Linked DNA regions of Xenopus tropicalis. The protein of the gene in region 5 purifies or fractionates together with the protein of the main gene of each other region. This does not show direct contact. Links are inferred from orthologs where the notes say so. Each region holds a gene or a part of one and is shown on either strand. Other genes may lie near its edges.

What was found.
Region 1: the proteins of wwp1 (region 5) and ptpn14 purify together in Homo sapiens (affinity purification with mass spectrometry; 3 studies listed by BioGRID). This does not show direct contact. The link is inferred for Xenopus tropicalis from reciprocal best matches to the Homo sapiens genes WWP1 and PTPN14.
Region 2: the proteins of wwp1 (region 5) and smad7 purify together in Homo sapiens (affinity purification with western blotting; 3 studies listed by BioGRID, with this or other methods). This does not show direct contact. The link is inferred for Xenopus tropicalis from reciprocal best matches to the Homo sapiens genes WWP1 and SMAD7.
Region 3: the proteins of wwp1 (region 5) and rnf11 purify together in Homo sapiens (affinity purification with mass spectrometry; 3 studies listed by BioGRID, with this or other methods). This does not show direct contact. The link is inferred for Xenopus tropicalis from reciprocal best matches to the Homo sapiens genes WWP1 and RNF11.
Region 4: the proteins of wwp1 (region 5) and smad6 purify together in Homo sapiens (affinity purification with western blotting; 3 studies listed by BioGRID, with this or other methods). This does not show direct contact. The link is inferred for Xenopus tropicalis from reciprocal best matches to the Homo sapiens genes WWP1 and SMAD6.

Annotation. Positions count from the first base shown.
Region 1 is NC_030681.2:13,586,708-13,589,775, forward strand, and holds part of ptpn14 (tyrosine-protein phosphatase non-receptor type 14), read left to right. Parts: intron 1-148; coding exon 149-367; intron 368-760; coding exon 761-889; intron 890-3,068. UniProt on the Homo sapiens protein: Protein tyrosine phosphatase which may play a role in the regulation of lymphangiogenesis, cell-cell adhesion, cell-matrix adhesion, cell migration, cell growth and also regulates TGF-beta gene expression, thereby modulating epithelial-mesenchymal transition.
Region 2 is NC_030677.2:205,594,064-205,598,210, forward strand, and holds the start of smad7 (mothers against decapentaplegic homolog 7), read right to left. Parts: upstream 2,812-4,147; 5' UTR 1,749-2,811; coding exon 1,268-1,748; intron 1-1,267. UniProt on the Homo sapiens protein: Antagonist of signaling by TGF-beta (transforming growth factor) type 1 receptor superfamily members; has been shown to inhibit TGF-beta (Transforming growth factor) and activin signaling by associating with their receptors thus preventing SMAD2 access.
Region 3 is NC_030680.2:96,171,011-96,175,222, reverse strand, and holds the start of rnf11 (RING finger protein 11), read right to left. Parts: upstream 2,808-4,212; 5' UTR 2,713-2,807; coding exon 2,590-2,712; intron 1-2,589. UniProt on the Homo sapiens protein: Essential component of a ubiquitin-editing protein complex, comprising also TNFAIP3, ITCH and TAX1BP1, that ensures the transient nature of inflammatory signaling pathways. Promotes the association of TNFAIP3 to RIPK1 after TNF stimulation.
Region 4 is NC_030679.2:117,262,010-117,265,997, forward strand, and holds the start of smad6 (mothers against decapentaplegic homolog 6), read left to right. Parts: upstream 1-1,188; 5' UTR 1,189-1,856; coding exon 1,857-2,250; intron 2,251-3,988. UniProt on the Homo sapiens protein: Transforming growth factor-beta superfamily receptors signaling occurs through the Smad family of intracellular mediators. SMAD6 is an inhibitory Smad (i-Smad) that negatively regulates signaling downstream of type I transforming growth factor-beta.
Region 5 is NC_030682.2:125,462,740-125,466,927, forward strand, and holds the start of wwp1 (NEDD4-like E3 ubiquitin-protein ligase WWP1), read left to right. Parts: upstream 1-1,375; 5' UTR 1,376-1,455; intron 1,456-4,188. UniProt on the Homo sapiens protein: E3 ubiquitin-protein ligase which accepts ubiquitin from an E2 ubiquitin-conjugating enzyme in the form of a thioester and then directly transfers the ubiquitin to targeted substrates.

The DNA.
Region 1 (3,068 bases), on a different chromosome or scaffold from region 5:
TAACTGTAGGCAGTGGCTATTAAAGCAAATAAAGTGCTATCTTGCATAAGAAAGTGCATTAACTTGAGGGAAAACATAATTTTGCCTCTTTATAGGTCCCTGGTGTTATGGGTAAGTCCTAATGTAGCACCGTGTGGTTTCTCTGCAGTGCAAGACCTTGAGATGGAGACTGGAGGAGGGAATGGTGTTTACTGAATACGAGCAAATTCCAAAGAGAAAGCCAGAGGGTGTTTTTACTACTGCAGTGTTGCCAGAAAATCTAGAACGCAACCGTATCTGCGAGGATATTCCTTACGAAGAGAATAGAGTCGAGCTTGTCCCAACCAAAGAAAACCCCACGGGTTACATCAACGCTTCCCATATAAAGGTAATAATAACGAGCTCCTAATTACAGCCGCTGTTACAGATTCAGGTTGCACTGCACAAATTGTTATGTTATGATTCTGCTGAAAGGGCCCAATGTCAATGATTCTACAGAACAATCTATAGAAAATAGAGGATGGCATGGCAGTGTGCCACCCTAATATTATAGACCTCATTCATCAATGGAATGCTAATGGAAACCCACAATGGACAGCTAGTAGACAGGCACAGGTCCTTATGACTTGAGGGACCCAGCATCAACCCGAAGCCCAACCAGAATCCATTCACTCGCCAACAGTTTTCACTGGGAGTAATTTTGGGCTCAGTAAAGGTATTACATGTCATTTGGTAGCTTATTATGTTTCTGCCTTTGACGGATCTGACTCTTCCATTCCAGGTCACTGTGAGTGGGAAAGACTGGCATTACATAGCTACCCAAGGCCCGCTGCCCCACACCTTTCACGACTTCTGGCAGATGGTGTGGGAGCAGGGGGTGAATGTCATTGCCATGGTCAACGCTGATGAGGTAGGTTTCCATAATAGCAGGGCTGTGTGGGTCAAGCTTGACTTCCCATGTTTAATAGACCATGCATCATGCTAAATCTTTGATAAAGAGGGGATGTCAGATTGGCAGGAGAGCTTTGGGAAAAAATAAGGAGGATTAAGGAAAGGAAACAGAGATTAGAATGGCATTTTATTGTAAGCTTGGCCATGGGCACCTTTACAGAATCTGGGAAATCAGGAATGTAATGATGTATCTGTTTATCTTTCTTCTCCTGTTAATATAAATGATGGCACTTATGTCCAGTAGAACAAAGTCTGTTCCATCACAAAAGAACAAAAAGAAATTGAGAAACGATTTGGCATAAACTATTCAGGGGTAAAGACCGGAATAAAGTTGATATATTTTAAAGGGATACTAATCATATTTAAAAAACTATTGGTATGTCAGTGGTGTAAAATACCTGGCTCGGCTCTTAGGGGGTCAGGTTGCTGCTAATCTACATAGAGGAGAGATGGTAGAATCCTCAGTCTGATGTACTGAGTCGGACCATGAAGTTCAGGTAGATGTACCACCTAAAAGTAAGCTTTTTGTAGAAGACATACATTCTCCTGGGATTGAACTGACATACTAGGTCATTTGTTTTTCAGATAGGGTCAGTATCCCTTTAAAGGGCCTGCGAAACCTAAATATAAATTTTTTTTTCATGTTATTTGTAAATGGAATTCTTATTTGGATCAGTATATAAGTATTTTGCTATTTTTCTGCACTGTTGGTCCTACCTCTGTGTAGCACTGAAACAGTCAGTTCCCACAATGCTGCCTTCTGTGATGAACGGAATGGTAGCCGGCTGCTGTGTAGTTTTTCTGTGTAGTTTTCTATGGCCAGCAGCCCACAGGCCACTCAACACAACCTATGTATACGTGCGGACCTGCTCTTCAGGGCCAAAGAGTATGCATGGCACACATCCGTAGGGTGAGCATCGAATCAAAAACCCTTCACCACCAGTTAGTGCATTGAGCAGTCATCTCTGGCAAAGGCAATCAAATTCAGGATTTCGGTTCCCCTTTAAGCGCTGGTTGATGTGAAAAACAAGTGCAGTAACCATTGTTATTCTGTCGCAAGGATTTGCCTTCCACAAGCTCTGCCAAAAACAACAGGCATCATTCCATGCAAGCCAAAAGCACCATGTTTCATTGTGTCCTTTGTGCAGTGATCCCATGTTCCCTCCACGTCCCAACCAGCCTCGCATTCCAGCATCCTTATCGGGTGTGACGGCACCAGCGCTTGTTATTCTTCTGCAACTTTCCTTTCTTATATAATGTTTCATCCTGTGCCAAGTGCAACAGGCCATTGTTTCCCCCAGCTCTGGGCCCGCTGTGTTCAGCAGGGAAACACAATATCAGTCACTTGAGCTCTGCTTAGTGTCAGTATGGGAGCTCCCGCTACACACACACCGACTTATTGGCCTTATTGGCACTGTGTGTATATTAATGCAGTTAATACCCACAGTTTGCTCTAGGTATGGTAACCTCTAACATCCAATCAAATGCTTGCATTTATAAATAGTCCAGCAAATGCTGCTTGCCAATGGGTCGCTCTGGGATACTAGAACTGGAGCAAACCTTGCACTTGGGGAACGTCACCCAAACACAAGTGAAGCTTTTTGAGAAGTAAACATCATTTCAAGCAACTACATCAGATAAAAAATATGCAGCCTTTTCATGATTTTTAATGTAATAATATGGTTTGTAACAGTTCCCTAAGCCCCGCCCCCTAGTCTCCTGTGGATCTGGCTACTTTGAGACTCATAAAAATGTAACAGTAGTCGCCTGCCTTCAGCCTGCCTTCAGCTTGCCTCCTCCCAATCCCACAATTCTCTACACACATGATGTCAATAAGCAAAGGAACATCACAGAGCAATGCATTGTGGGTTATGTAGTTCCTGCATGCTGTCTGTAAGCTGTGGGGAAGTTGTTACAATTTGTAACATCAGTTTTAGTCCCTCCTCCCCTGCCAGGATTTCAAATGATACAGAAAGAGAAGAACTGTTTTGCAGCTGGATTTCAGCATATAAAAATGGTATTTATTCCTACTTTTTTAAGGAACAGATTACAGTGATGGGTATACTAGGGGTTTCTGTGTTGTGTGGGGCTCTGTAACAAATGTTGGTTCTGGAGCTGGAGTTCACCTTTAGGCTAAA
Region 2 (4,147 bases), on a different chromosome or scaffold from region 5:
CTATTCGCGCATTATACGCACAGCCGTATATAAAAGTGCGCTGAAACTGCCGCCGGAGAAAGGGGCATTGAAGCAAAAAGAGGGGGTTTACGCTTTACACCCCAACTTTAATAGGGGTGTAATAATAAAAGTAGGCTGGTAAATAGGAAACAGGGGGGAGGGCATGATTAATAAACACATTAAGCAGAACAGAAATAAGCTTAAAAGGTAAATGAAGGGAAAAACAATATATTACTAGGGTATAAGTGCAATAAAGGGAGGGACAGCCCCGATCCATTGATGGGGGGATGAATGAGATGTCAGTAGTAACTACTCAGCCCCCTGGCACTGTCACTACTGTCATAGGGAATAATACCTAATAATGACATGAGCCGAGACCCCCCCCCCAGAAATACATAAGCCCCCCCCCCCCTTTATTGCCACTGATATTAGCCCAGCAGACCTGCTATAGGACTGGAGACTGGATGATAATGGGGTGTATCTTGTATATGAAGGTTTCCTGGCAAAGTGACACAAGGCACCCCCACAATCCGTGTGACCCCCCCCATTCCTTTCACACAGTACAACGGAATGACATAGTGACAATGACACCTCCCAGCTTACACAGCAGACTGTACCCCCACAGCACCCACCGTGCCCACTATCCCCAAGCCACACTGTCAGTTATACCAAGGGGCAAGTTACTCTGCCCTGCTATTAGCCACAGCGACCAATGTATCCAATGTGCTGTACCCATGAAACCCAGAGCCATGCCCCCTTTGCCATTCCCGCTATACCCAAGGATAAATATGGAAAAAGAATAGTTGTGCCCTGAGATAAATATGCCCAGTCATATACCCCATTATAACTGTGCCAAATGGCAGTAAATCAGTATCCCCATTACCCATCACAATATTGAACCCCCAAGCCTGTGGCTGCATTGAAATACTAATGCCAGACTGACCCTCTGATGCCAACTACACACACCAGCTGTGCCCAGTGGGTGCCAATGTCCCTGCAGGACAGGGTGGCAGTCAGAGCAAATCCACCCTGCCATGTGTGTGTGCCAGTCTGGGTGTCAAAGTCCCTGCAGGACAGGGTGGCAGTCAGAGCAAACCCACCCTGCCATGTGTGTGTGTGCCAGTCTGGGTGTCAAAGTCCCTGCAGGACAGGATGGCAGTCAGAGCAAACCCACCGTGCCATGTGTATGTGCCAGTCTGGATGGCAGTCAGAGCAAACCCACCCTGCCCTGTGTGTGAGTGCCAGTCTGGGTACAGGGGGCACCTACCTAGTTCGCACAGCCTGCTGAGATGGTGCGGGTTGCAGCAGACCAGCTCCGGGTTGTTCTTGCCATAGGAATCGCAGCAACTAAGTCGTTTGACCTCGGACGAGTGCCTGAGGTCCGGCCACCTGAAGACCTTGCAGAGCAGCAGCGGCAGGGAGAAGGGCTGCTGCCCCAGCCTGGAGTCCAGCTTGGCCGCCGGCAGCAACAGGCAGGGGCTGCGGGCTCCCCCTTTACACTCCACCGCCTGCAGCAGCCCCTCCAGCTGCTTCTCCTTCAGCTTCTTCAGCACGGAGTGGGCGAGGGCTTTCAGTTCTGCAGCCTCCGAGCCCCCCAGCGCCTTCCCGGGCACCTTATTCGCCGATTTGCCCAGGCAGCAACCCCCGGCTCCATGAACCCTCTCCCCGCCTTCCCCTTCCCCGCTCTCCCCGGGAGCTCGGCTCCTCCAGAGTCGCCGGACGAGCACCGATCGTTTGGTCCTGAACATGCGGGACGAGAGCAAGGCTTCCCGGCTAAACAACGTGCATGACGCCCGCAAATCATGAAGAATCCTGGATCCGAGGCCGGGCAGAGACCAGCAGCAGCAGCCCGGGAGGGTAGGGGGGAGCTGGGGGTCCGACAAGCCAAAGCGATCTGGAACATGCGCCAGTCTTTTAGGGGAAGAGATCCTGCAAAGTGCGGCGGGGGGATCCGAGTCGCAGCGACAGGAATACTGCAAACGGCAAGCAGCCGCCCCGGCTACACATACAGCGGGCTAATGCTGGGCAGCCGAGCCGGGAGCAGCGGGGCATTGAATGGAGCACAGAGCGCTGCCCGGCTTGGCCTGGGATCTAAAGGGCATTTATACACAATCCTCCCGGTAGGAAAGCGGGCTCCCCCCACAACTCGTACATCCACAAACGAGCGGGTCTGCCGATAATATCCCTTGTGTATGGGGGGCAAATGGGCAGAGAGTAGGGGCACTAGGGCGGCAGAACCTTATAGATAATCCGTACGCGATGCGGTTCCAGTAAAGAAGTAGAAGCCCTGGGTTGCGCCTCTCGCTTGTTTAATCCACAAGAAAAATCCTTTATCCGGCCGCTCAGTAGGAGAGAGGGGAAAAAAATAAAGTGGGACTTGTCTTTTCCTCCTTCTCAAAGGGCTGATCCGCCCCCGTCTGTGTTATGGAAATGTGCGATGGGGAGAGGGGGGGGGGAGAGGAGGAGGGACCGGCCGCACAGCGGAGACACGGCGAGGGGCAGCGGGGAGAGGACTGGTATCCCTCCGCTAACGAGGGCCGGCTATGGGGGTTCACTGGGGCACCTACACTCTACTGGGGGGGTGCTGTGTCCACAAAGCTCACACTCACAGCACCCAGTTACCAAGGGACTTCACCCTGCTCATTGCTGTCAGTGCCCCTCCTCTCTCCCTGACTGTCTCTCACTTCCCCCTCCCCTGTCTGTGCCTGTCTCTCTCTCTCCCCGGCTCTCTCGGCTCTGTCAGTCTCCTGTGCGCAATGGCGCGGCCCATCACGTGGGTGTCTAGACAGCCTGTCGCTTTAACAAAAAAAAAAAACCCCAAGGATTGTGTTGCGCAAAGGCTTCGGGTTACTGAAAGCTCCTCTTTTATGTCACAGTCAGTCATATGTGTGAGTCTGAGTGAGAGTGTGAGTGAGAGTGTGAGTCTGAGTGTGAGTGTGAGTCTGAGTGAGAGTGTGAGTCTGAGTGAGAGTGTGCACTATGCATTTAGTGGGGCATAAAGCCATCAGTGTAACATTAAAGGGGAGGTTAGCTTTTCAGTATGGCCAATTCTAAGCAACTTTTCAATTGGTCTTCATTATTTATTTTTATCATTTTTAAATTATTCCCCTTCTCCTGCCTCTTTCCAGCTTTCAAACAGGGGTCACCGACCCCCGCAACAAAAACTATGGCTCTGTGAGGCTACAATTTTATTGGTATTGTTACTTTTAATTACTTTTCTTTCTGTTTAGAAATATCAGTCTCTCATTGAAACCAATGCCTGGTCACCAGGGGCCCCCACACCCCCAGTAGGGACTCCCGCCGGCTGCCTCCCTGCGGCCCACCAGGTTTTTTCCTGGTGTCCCGTCGGCCCAGTCCAATCCTGCTGGTTGCTAAGGTAATTTGGACCCTAGCAACCAGATAGCTGCTGAAATTCCAATCTGGAGAGCTGCTGAACAAAAAGTGAAATAATTACAGAACTACAAAAAATAATGACAAACTGCAAATTATCTCAGAATATTACTCTCTATCTCATACTAAAAGTTAACTCAAAGGTGAACTACCTCTTTAGATGTAAGTACCTGGGTATAATAATTACTCCCAGTGGCAGGCTGATACACCTTTATGGCATTGCTGCTGCTGAGCTGTGGGAGAGGATGTAGGCTAAGGCTGTTAGGGGTTGCTGGGAGCTGTAGTTCAAGCTGTGGGGAGCAGATTGATTACTAATGAATAAACTGCTTGCAGGGCCTGGCAGGTATAAGGAGAATACATTATACATACTCGGGTTTCATGTTGTTTCTAACATAGAGGTAGTAGATGCATGGAGTGAGCTCTCCGGGGAGAGGGTATCGGCCTTAGTTATCAGCTCAGCTTGACTGTGCATGAATGGGGTTAAATGGCCGGCTTGTGATGTTGGAGGGGAAGTCGGGCTGAGAGGTTTCAGTGCAGGTTGTTAGGGCTGGACAAGTCCCCCTCGAGCCGCTACTTAAATCTCACTTTTGGCTCGTGACGTTTGGGTACAAAGTGTACATGTTGCAACGTCCGCAAGCTTGTCTCTAATTACTGTCTGCCTCCTACCTGTCCCTCTGTCTGCCTCCTACCTGTCCCTCTGTCTGCCTCCTACCTGTCCCTCTGTCTGCCTCCTACCTGTCCCTCTGTCTGCCTCCTA
Region 3 (4,212 bases), on a different chromosome or scaffold from region 5:
AACGCTGTTAGTAGAATGAACAATACTGTAGATAAAAAGACCCTCAGAGAAAAACAAGATCATTTCACAGTATCTGTACTGCATGGAGTATTTTACTGACAATGGCAGTTCCAATAGTACTTATTACTTTGCGGTTGATTTGCTATCACAAAGTCATTGCTCTATGTGTACTCTTACTTTTACTGTTCCTTTGCAAATAAAAAAAGTAAAGTTATGCACATTAAAGGAACAGTAACATCAAAATTTAAAGTGCTTTAAAGTAATTTGAATGTACTGTTGCCCTGCATCAGTGTTTACTTCAGAAACACTACTATATTTTATATGAATAAGCTGCTGTTTAGCCAAGGGGGCAGCAGCCATGTAAGCTGAAAACACAGCTTCTGTTATCTGCTATGTAACCTTCACCATTCTGCCCTATTTCAATTTGTATAGCTACCCCCATGGCTACAGAGCAGCTTTGTTTATATAAACTATAACAGTGTGTCTAAACAAACACACAGCTGTTACCACTGCAGGACAACAAAGTATTTTAATTACTTTGATATATTTTTGGTGTTACTGTTCCTTTAACTGAAGGCAGCTGTTGCACTTGTACAAGAAATAAGCTGAGCAGACAGTGACATCCCAATTTTGATCATAACAAAGGCAGCAGCCTCTCTCAGACAGCCATTGGACTTCATGGCCTACACCCAAACACAAGTGATATGCCGACCTCAGGGTCAGCTCCCACATGGCTAATGTGTTACTGACAAACCCTAGCTTTCCAACTCATTCAGCTCCCCATGAAAACTAAAAACAGTAGTTTCATATCTACACCTTATGGCCAGAAGTATCAAGAAAACTATAAAAAAAAAAATAAAAAAAAAACACCTTGTCAGTGTTAAAGGGGATTTAAACACAAAAAAAGTGAATTGATGTAAATGTAAGCAGTGGTCATCTGATGACAAGTTCTCGGGTCTCAAAACCGACTTAAAGGATTAACCAAGTTCCTGTGAAAAAGTAAAAAACAAAAAAACTAGTCTATTTTCATCTAAAACGGGTGTCGTTACAAGGAATGAGTTTGGCTATTCTTTAACAGTTCAGCCGTGTACGGTCCTGCACGTGAAAACAAAAAATGGTGGCTTCTCCAGTCAATATTAAATTGAGAAGGCGGGAAAATCATGTCAGACAGGATGATATAGGTCCCCATATCACTGAATGGAGAAAAGATCAGAAAAACGTCATCAGTTAAAACACTGCAGAACTTTTCCCACTGAAGTAATGCAATTTGCCCTTCTTTGAAGATTATGTTGCAAAAATGTGCAACCTACATTTTAGGTAATAGCCTTCCATACATGGTAACAGCCAGTATTTCCTATTCATATCAATAAGCAGAAGTGTAAAGAGGGAAGAGATGGGGTGAGATGCCATGATGTTTTTCTCAAAAAAAAGGGGGGCCTTTTCTATACAGGAGCTTCAAAGAGCTGGCGTATCCTTGTATCGTGTTTGGTGCAGCGCCGCTGTCACAAAGATGGCATCAACTCTGCGTTACTGAAAACACATCTGGGTCAAGCCAGCACTGTGGTTCACATACCAGAAAAAAATAACTTCCTGCTCTGCTTACAGGTTGAAGCAGAAAAAGTTCATTTTCTATAAGGCACAGTATATACCAACACACCACTGCCATAGGGAAGAGATCCAAAATATTTCGCATTTTCACCTTTACACTGGGCGAACAAATACTACTCAGCCAGCTAAAGCTACTAATAAGTCTTTGCTTATGTGATTCAAAGATATAGGCCCGCAGGACACAGTAAAAGAATTGTATAAATGTATGCCCACTGTATATTATACCCCCAGTACACACTAGTGTCTAATAAATATATATATATATATATATATATATATATATATATATATATATATATATATATACACACACACACACACACACTAAGGGAAAGCTCCACAAAATATAAATACAGCACAATAATCAAGCAACCACCTAGTATACAAAACACAGCTTAGACTCCCATTATTGTTATGCCTTTTTATATATACTCATACTCACATTTATATATACTCATACTTTACATATACTCAGAAACCAACTTCTCCATTTTGGCCCATCAGCACCAGTGGATTTCCCAAGGCAGTAACTGCCCAACCTATTATTTCCAGATGAGGCACAACTAGAGCCCTGTGAGATGAATGAGGTGAGAATCCTTGCTGCATTCCCAGCAGGTAACATCACACAGGTTATTATGGGCTGCTTGCTTGTATGCAGTCCCTGGGTAACAATGCAGCTTCACTGGCCCTACATTGTTTGCTTACAGAAATGTTGGTATCCCTGTTCTTTCCCAAGCACGGAGTAGTAGTGACAGATTGGGACACAAAGTAAAGGCGGTAGTGGAACAGCCCCAATGGTACAACCCTGCTTTGTCCCTTAGCGGTGTGGCCTTACCGCCAGCAACTAATCCCTCCTGGGGCTCAAGCCGAGTGAGGGCTGCAAGACTCGCCTGACTGTTCCCCGCCGCCCGAGTAGCCAGCCTGCCATCCCGCCATGCACATCCCAGCTGGCTATACACGTACATACACAGCTCTCCTTACCTGGTATGGGGGAGGCGGCTCCTGGTCCCCGTCGTTCCCGTCCCCATAGCTCGCACGGTCAGACTGCGACTCATGCAGCAGGGAGATATCATCAGAAGTCGGGGACTTGAGGCAATTGCCCATCCTGCCTGGGGGCTTCTTAGCTCTGGCCTCCCCTTCGGCTTTTCACTGGTCACTTCTAAAGGCCTTCCCGCAGGCCTTCACACCTTTAGGACGTTGCCAGCTCACTGCACCCTGACTAAGTACAGTGCAAGCGATATCAATGGCTGCTCACCCTCCGCGAATCGACGAACCCTCCTCCGCCATCACTAAGCACAGCGGTCACAGACGGACCGTGACATCACCGCCAGCCGAGAGACCCCGCCTCCAGTGTTTGTGTCTGGATGGGCGGGGCCAGGGGCGGGGAACACGCTCCTACAAACCCTTGTGAGAACTGAAAGCAGAGCGGAACCGGAAAGAGTTGGGAATAGGAAACGCAGTGTGACATGGGCAAACAAAATCAGTGGCATGGCAGCCAGACAAACTTAAATGGCTTTGTTTTAAAGGGGCCTTCAGTGCATTAGTACAACAAAAAAACGCTAAAATGCGTAAAAAGAACGAGACAGCAAATTCTGATGCCGTCCTGGCCATACTTGAGGAAATAATAGTACGATTTTCATTGTGTACATTGTAGAGACTATCCTAACCGATTTCTGCACAATGAATATCAGTGAGAAGGAGCACTGGAAGGGTTTCAAGTAGGGTGTCAGCAGGAAGCTAAAGCTGGCCATACAGGTGGCGATCTGATGGTCGCACGAAACATCGTCAGATCCGCCACACACCATTCAGGGCTGAATCTGCAGGTAAGGAGGTAGAAACAATAGGATTTCTACCTCCTTCTGCCGATTCAGCTCTGAAGGGAGAATTTGGTCAGGCGCCTTCTATGGTGCCCGATCAAAATTTTCAAACTGGTCCGATCGGCGAGTCGTCCGATATCAGCAGCTTCCTGCGATATCGGTCAACTCACCGACATACCATACGCGCACCGAATATCGTTCGAAACGAGGTTTTGTACGATATTATCGGTGCGTGTATGGCCACCTTTAGGCGGCACTCAGCACAATGGGTGGATATGAATGGAATGGCATGGCTAGGGGCGGATGGGACCCAGGGTTCATTCTGGTAGCCCCTTTGGTCAATTTTTAGTTTGAACGTGTTTGAAATGTTTTTATAGATTTGCAGATAATGAAGTGAAGTTAAAGTACAGTCCTGATTCATAGCATATGCTAATTAGGATTCGGATTTGCTTCGGTATCAACCAAACCCATTTAGGAAGGATTCAGGGGTTCGTCCCTATCTTTAATATTGCACTGCTATTCAAGGAACTCTAAAACTGCAGCAAAACTCGATGTTTAACTGTAAGGACGAATGTAAACTTGAATCTCTGGTAGTAAATTGAAGTTCCATCACCACGATTCACACTAGATCAATTTTTATAAGTCCATATCCAGGGAGATTGGTGACAGTGTCATGGGCCTCAAACTTTTTGATAACAACATGCATGGTGCATACAGTACCGTTAAGTACTTGGCATGGATCAAAAAGCAAACATGCAAATTGTATGCTAACAACATTAACACGTAA
Region 4 (3,988 bases), on a different chromosome or scaffold from region 5:
GTCTTCGCCCTTAGGGCTGTGGCACATGTGGAGATTAGTTGCCCATGACAAGGAAGATTTGTCACTGGCGACTAATCTCCCCGTGTGCCACAGCCCCGATATGAGAATGTAAATAGCCGGTGGGATGGCATACGCGGTGCTGCGATTTCCCTAAAATCGCGGAAGGTTCCTCTTAAGGCAATGTATGCCATCCCACCAGCGATTTATATTCTCACCGGTGGGATGTCATATCGGGGCCAAACGATCGAATTATACTGGCGGCAAGGGGCAGTCGGTTCGGGGACCGCATCAACGGGCCAATACGGTCCCTGATCCAACTGAATTTTCTAACCTGGCCGATCGAGATCTGGCCAATTTCAGGCCAGATATCGGTCGGCCAGGCCCCTCGTTTCTGCCCCTAAATGGGCAGATAAGCTGCCGAATCGGTCCAAGGGACCGATATCGGCAGCTACAATCTGCCCGTGTATGGGGACCTTTAGACACTTGGAGCTACTTAGTAGCAGCTACTTGTCACAGCTACAAAACACCAGAAAATACCCTGCCATAGACAATACTGAGAATTGCCTTTGCTAAAATACACAGAGACAATTATCAGTAAATTGACAGCATTGTGTATTTTTGTATCTGCTACAAGTAGCTCCTGTCTTAGCCCTATAGTGAAAAAACACTACTCACTTTGCTCTATTCTAGAAGTGCAAAGAGCTGAGCTTCAGGGTGCAAGGAGAACATATTTCTCACTTTCTATATATTTGCTGATATTCATTGTTTTCCACATACATTCTCATCTGCTTTTTTGTATTTAGTTTTTTTGGTTCTGTATCATCCATCGCTAACAAATACATATTAAGAAATGAAAGTAAAAGGGCAGGAGACTCCATGTACCGGTCCAATAGAATGTACAGCACCCCATACAGCCATTGTTGTAGTTCAACAGCAGCTAGTGTGCCACAAGGTGAGCATCTCTGCCCTGGGGTGAAATGATGGAAACCCCAAGCATCTAGTTATAATAAGTAAATGACCCAGCGATTATCTGCTCAGCACCAAATAAAAGCACTGCTTTAAAAAAATGTATTTGGTAAAAAGTGTGGGACGTTTGTGAAGGTAATAGGGCAATTTTAAGAATTGGGAAAGGACTGTGGCTCCTTTAAGAGTTAAGAAACTTGAGATTTGTTTGCGCAACAGTCAGTGCAGCGGAGCCGCCAAAGTGTCTAGACTGCCATGTGACAGGGAACAGCCAATGGGAATGCTTTCAGTGGGCCCGAGTGAGTGAGAGAGGGTGAGCACAAAGAGCAGGGATCAGTGTGTGCAGGGACCGGAGCAACAGAGTGAAGCGCCTACTGCTATCGGGGAAGCTGAGAGGAACCCAGGGGACCGGAGCGGGGAGCCTACTAGGAAGTGTGCGCAGTGCAAGCCGATAGAGAAAGGAAGCCTGTGCGGGACGGTAGCAGCAATGTGCAGTGTGTGAGAGCGCCACAAGCCCGGCTGCAGTAGGCTGCAATCCCCGGGAGTGTAAGGGCTAGAGCCGTGCAAATACCCCGCAGCCCCGCTCTATCCAGCGTTCAGCATCCTTCTCCGGAGCATCCCGCTGCGCCCAGTCTCCGTGCCCCTGCTGGATGCCCTGTGCCGTGAGTACCGCCATGTGACAGCCGTGGGGGTTCCGTCTGGAGAAGCAGCCTTCCGAGATGTGACCCGGGAGGGGGACACCCCAATACGTGCCCAGCCGACTGACTCTCTATCCGTGCGGGCACCGGAGAGACTGGCACAGGAGAGAGCGCTCTTCCCCCATGCCGACCCTTCTAGTTGGCCCCGGGCACTGAGGCACCGGAGAGCCGGGCGCACCCTCGGGGGCGCGCCGCATGTTCAGGTCCAGACGCACCGGGCTGGTTCGGCGCCTGTGGAGGAGCCGGGCGGGCGGGGATGGAGGTGTCTCTTGCTGCGGTCTGTCGGAGCAGCCCTCTGGCTCCCCGGAGCTCCGCGCCGCTGCTTCTGCGATCCTGAAGCGACTGAAAGAGCAAGCCCTGTGCGCCCTGCTGGAGGCCGTGGAGTCCCGGGGTGCAGCGCCCGGAGGGTGTGTGTGTGTGACCCGACACGGGCCCCCCCCTCACCTGCTCTTGTGCAGACTCTTCCGCTGGCCAGAGCTGCAGCATCCCGGGCAACTGAAAGCCTTGTGTGGGTGCCAGGGAGCCGGGGGCTCGGAGAATAACAGTGTGTGCTGCAACCCCTACCATTACAGCAGGGTGTGCGGACCGGGTGAGTGCCAATGCATCCTTCCTAACAGCCCCTGCTAGGCTAGGGGAGAGCCTGGAGCATCCCTTGTGCAGATTATGTCTCTATCACTATTGCACAGTGTCCAGCAAATTCCTGTGAGTGATGTCTGTCCCATGGCCCCTCAGGTTGTTTTAATACAACAGGTAGAAGCCAGGATGCTGGGAGTTGTAGTTCAGCTTCTATAATCTCAGGCTAAGGGCACAGACAGGACATCCCTAATAAACACAGTCTGCTTCCCTCATGTTAGTGCACCCGCTTTGGTTTATTGCCCGGGGTGCCTTCATCTTTATCTCTGGCCCTGCCAATAGCTGGAGGCTGTCTACATATTATCATTATTGTTACACTTCTTTAATAGGTAAGAGGTTGCAGGAAATGTAGCACTAATTACATATTACTCTAGTTCCTCTCTTCCAGGAATGTACTTTAATGAAGTCATTTGAACTAAAGATCCTATGTCATTAACAGGTGCCTTATTGCTCTTTTGCTATTAGAGATGTTTAGACATTAGGTCTCTCTGGAAATTAATGATCCAAAATTTCCAGCATTTCCAACACTGTCAGCAGCTGGGGGAGGGGGTCTCTGGTTGGATACCCTGATTATAGTGATAGGGCATTTATAGTTTTGTTTGGAGCACTCACTGGCATAACTCTTACATATTAACCAAAATATTATCAGCGTAGTATAGCTGGAGGCAGAATGGTGGTCTGTTAAGGGCCTCATAGGCTGCCTGGTTTTGCTCGAGAACAATTTGCTCCTAACCAATCATACTGGGCTGAAAAATGGGGCACAGATGACAAGATCCACTTGTATGGTAAGCTGTCCAACTTGGATACCTGCATTATGGTCCACATCAGACTGGTTTGTCCCTAGTGGTGTAGCTACTAAGGGAGCTACGGGTGTGACTGATCTGGGGCCTACTACCCTGGTGAGTACTGAGGGGGGACCTGAAACTCTGTGGCCATAGTCCACGGAAGCCAATCTAATGGCATGGGGGAAGGGGGTCCCATGCAGTGGTAGCGCCTTGATGCAAATTTCGACCCATGAGCCCTTGTCTACACCACTGGTTGTTGGTGAATGATTAGATCATAAACAAAATAGGGGCCTAGGCAGACATGACAAGAGTCCATCAAGGGGGCAGGGGAAAGATTCTTGAAATCATCGCCCATTCATTTGAATGGAAATAGCCTGAAAGATGCTGGTGTACTCAACACCATGACATAAAAAAACTCTTGAAATCGCTCAGTATTTGCCAGTGGAAAGCCCTTTGAATGGTGTTGGTAATATGAAGTTGTGCAAAGTTTCATCTTGCAGCAACTTCACGTGACTTCGGATTACCGAATTGATGGCAATGGCTTTCCACTGGCGACTCCTATTGTTGCTGGTGGAAATCCTTTTTGGAGCAGTTTGTCACCCGAGACAGTAGAGATCTATCGCGGGAAACTAACCACTCTATGGATTCTTACCCTTAGGGTGGAGACACACTGAGTTACTTAGTAGCAGCTAATTTTTCAGGGCTACAAAATGCCAGAAAATACCCTGCCATAGACAATACTGAGAATTGTCTCTGGTAAATCACACGTAGAGACAATTATCAGTAGCCATGACAAGTAGCTGCTGCTACTAGTAGTTTTGTGTGTCTTCACCCTTATAGGACAAGTAACACCAAAAAATAAAAGGGTTTTGTAGGCATTTAAATGTATATGTACTTTGCATTGGTAAA
Region 5 (4,188 bases):
GATTAGTTGCCCGTGACAAATCTCCCTTGTTGCGGGCGACTAATCTCTCTGATATGCCATCATACAGGCTTGAATGTAAATCGCCAGTGGTATGGCATATGCGGCGTTGCGATTTCCGAAAACTGCGGAAGTTGCCTTGAGAGGAAACTTGTGCGATTTCGGGAAATCGCGTCGCCGCATATGCCATACCACTGGCGATTTACATTCAAGCCGGTGGGATGGCATATCGGGGTGATTAGTCGCCCGCAACAAGGGAGATTTGTCACGCGGCGACTAATCTTCCCGTCTGTCACAGCCCTTAGCGCCAGTATCACTTTAAGGCTAATGGCACTTGGGGTAGTGCTGGAATGGCAAATATTCTGGCAAAACCCGTAGTGACTGCTGTGAATTGCATAGACCGGTGCTTTATTTGAGGTTGTTAGAGGACTGTCTCAGCCTCAGTTTATTTGTAATGCCAAGACTTATTTAGATCTTAGTACAGACAACATGGTGTGTTTTGACTACTACCTGTTAGGGTGAAGACACACAGAGCTACTTAGTAGCAGCTACTTGTCACAGCTACTAAACGCCAGAAAATCCCCTGCCACAGACAATACTGAGAATTGCCTCTGCTAAAACACATGTAGAGACAGTTATCAGTAAATGATCAGCATTGTCTATTTTTGCAGCTGTGACAAGTAGCTGCTACTAGTAGCTCCATGTGTCTTCACCCTAAGTGCCAGTGCCAAGTGGGGTGCTGGAGTCTTTACCCTTACTGCTTCTAATGGCAAGTGCATAGGGTTTGCAACTTTTAAAAATGATTTAACCTGCTGGGCTGGGGTGACAAGGGGGGTGGGGTGATGCTGTAAAGGCCCAGGGTGATAATATGAGCAGAAGAGAATTGGCATGTTGGGCAGAGGGCAGCTTCTGGTCTGAAAAGGGATGAACAATTAGGGTGGATCAGTGCAATGACACGCAATGGCACTGTTATACTGGTCCCAGCTTTAGCATGTGTTTTACCACTGGTAGAATAGCAACCCTGAAAGTGTCCCTGCTGATACACTTGGAGCAGTAAAAAGCCATAAACTAATGCTGCCTGAAACACAAAAAGTTGATTTAAACTTTAACAACAACTTTAACATGTCCCTCCTGGCCTAGTCTAAAGAGGAGCATCAAACTAAACTCATACAGATTAATGCGGGTTTAGCCAGAGAATTATATAGGTGACGTCACGCAAAGCTTGTCCCAATCCTGTCACGACATGGCCACGCCCCGTGTTATTGCTGGTAGGTGGGAGACACGTGACGTTTCCTGGGCGGGAGTTTGATGACGCGAGGGGGCGGAGTCCGGGGAAGCTCTGTGAGACGGCCGCAGTGGTGCCCGGAGCTGGCAGCGTGTGAATCGGACGGGAGCTCGGAAGGAGGAAGAGGCGGCCCGGGGAGGGGAGGGGAGGCCGAGGACGGGACATCCGCCCCGGTATGTTGGCAGCTGTGTCAGCTGGTTGGTGAAGTCGATAGGTTTCCCGCAGCAGTGTATGAGGGCATGTCGGTGCCACACACTGCTTGTTCTGCTCCTTGCCCCTAGGCTACTATTCCTTGTCTCCGCCTGGCATTAGCTACGGGCAATACCACTAGTGCTTTGCGCTGCTGTCGGTGATCCCATTCCCCGCTTTGCGTTTTTCTCTCAAGCCTTTCATTGTCGTGGTTTGTTGCGATCCGCTATTCTCCGGTCTCAGTACTCGCTCACATCTCTATGGCCTTAAGGGCCACCGGATATCTCGCTAGCTGTTTCCTTTCATCAGGGGCTTCTGGTTATTGTGTCACAGGTGGGCTAATGCTAGCCTGACTTCATTCATCATATGACTTGAACCCTGTACCCTCCTAGTGCCGCTGCCAAATCTGCCCATATCCATGTATAGTGTATAGCAGCAGCCTCCTTGCCAAGTGTATCCATGTATGTGCTACTTCTTTTGTGTCTTCCTTGTCTCCATGTGTAATGCTCACATTTAGCTTCACTCTCCTTGCCAAGTGTATCCATGTATTTCCCACCTCTGTTGTGTCTTCCTTGTCTCCATGTGTAATGCTCACATTTAGCTTCACTCTCCTTGCCAAGTGTATCCATGTATGTGCCACCTCTGTGGTGTCTTCCTTGTGTCTTTGTGCACTCTTCACATTTAGCTTCACCCTCCTTGCCAAGTGTATCCATGTATGTGCCACCTCTGTGGTGTCTTCCTTGTCTCCATGTGTAATGCCCACATTTAGCTTCACCCTCCTTGCCAAGTGTATCCATGTATGTGCCACCTCTGTGGTGTCTTCCTTGTCTCCATGTGTAATGCCCACATTTAGCTTCACCCTCCTTGCCAAGTGTATCCATGTATGTGCCACCTCTGTGGTGTCTTCCTTGTGTCTTTGTGCACTCTTCACATTTAGCTTCACCCTCCTTGCCAAGTGTATCCATGTATGTGCCACCTCTGTGGTGTCTTCCTTGTCTCCATGTGTAATGCCCACATTTAGCTTCACCCTCCTTGCCAAGTGTATCCATGTATGTGCCACCTCTGTGGTGTCTTCCTTTTGTCTTTGTGCACTCTTCACATTTAGCTTCACCCTCCTTGCCAAGTGTATCCATGTATGTGCCACCTCTGTGGTGTCTTCCTTGTCTCTATGTGTAATGCTCTCATTTAGCTTCACCCTCCTTGCCAAGTGTATCCATGTATGTGCCACCTCTGTGGTGTCTTCCTTGTCTCTATGTGTATTGCCCACATTTAGCTTCACTCTCCTTGCCAAGTGTATCCATGTATGTGCCACCTCTGGTGTCTTCCTTGTCTCTATGTGTAATGCCCACATTTAGCTTCACTCTCCTTGCCAAGTGTATCCATGTATGTGCCACCTCTGTGGTGTCTTCCTTGTCTCTATGTGTAATGCTCTCATTTAGCTTCACCCTCCTTGCCAAGTGTATCCATGTATGTGCCACCTCTGTGGTGTCTTCTTTGTGTCTTTGTGCACTCTTCACATTTAGCTGCAATCTCCTTGCCAAGTGTATCCATGTATGTGCCACCTCTGTGGTGTCTTTCTTGTCTCCATGTGTAATGCCCACATTTAGCTTCACCCTCCTTGCCAAGTGTATCCATGTATGTGCCACCTCTGTTTTGTCTTCCTTGTCTCCATGTGTAATGCTCACATTTAGCTTCACTCTCCTTGCCAAGTGTATCCATGTATTTCCCACCTCTGTGGTGTCTTTCTTGTCTCCATGTGTAATGCTCACATTTAGCTTCACCCTCCTTGCCATCTGTATCCATTTATGTGCCACCTCTGTGGTGTCTTCTCAGTGTCCATGTAATGTCCATATTGAGATTTTTCATGATTAAAACAATAGGCAAAAAAAGTATGTTCAGAAAACAACAATTAATAGAGGGTACTCCCTTATGCAAATATAGTAAAGGATGCAAAAGTAAAGACTCTTACCCAAATAGAGGCAAAAGTAAAGCAAACTACAAAAGGTCACTTTGCACTCCAAAACAAAGTATGTTCAGCACAAGCCCTGTGTATTGAGCTTGTGCTGTGCAAGGGGGGTATACTGCCACTCCACCTTTTTTGCCAACTCAGTGTTGTCTTGCGCCTGTGCACCTTTAGGGTGAAGACACACAGAGCTACTTAGTAGCAGCTACCCCTGCCATAGACAATACTGAGAATTGCCTCTGCTAAAACACATGTAGAGACAATTATCAGTAAATGATCAGCATTGTCCATTTTAGTAGCCATGACAAGTAGCTGCTACTACCGGTAGTAGGTCATTGTGTCTTCACCCTTAATTGCATTCTCTCTGCTTAGTCTACCCTTTTTTTGTCCAAGCACTCCCCGCCAGGTATGCCGTTGTCTTTTGTTTATCTTTTGTGAAATTTACTTTGGACCAAGTGCATCGTACTTTAGCTACCAGTGTTTCCCAACCATGTTGCTCCCCTAATCCCTTTGATATTGCTTCCAGTGGCCTCAAAGCAGGTGTTCATTTTTGAATTTCTTACTTGGAGGCACAAAGGCCATGTGTACTGCCACACAGAGCCAAATATGCCATTATTTGGCACCCCCTTGGAACTTTTTTCATGCTTGCGTTGCTGCCAACTCTTTTTATTTAAATGTTTTCTATAGGTAAAAAAGTTGGACACCTTTATTTCAAACTTTCCATAGGTGTTATTTCTATATCATTTCCATAAAG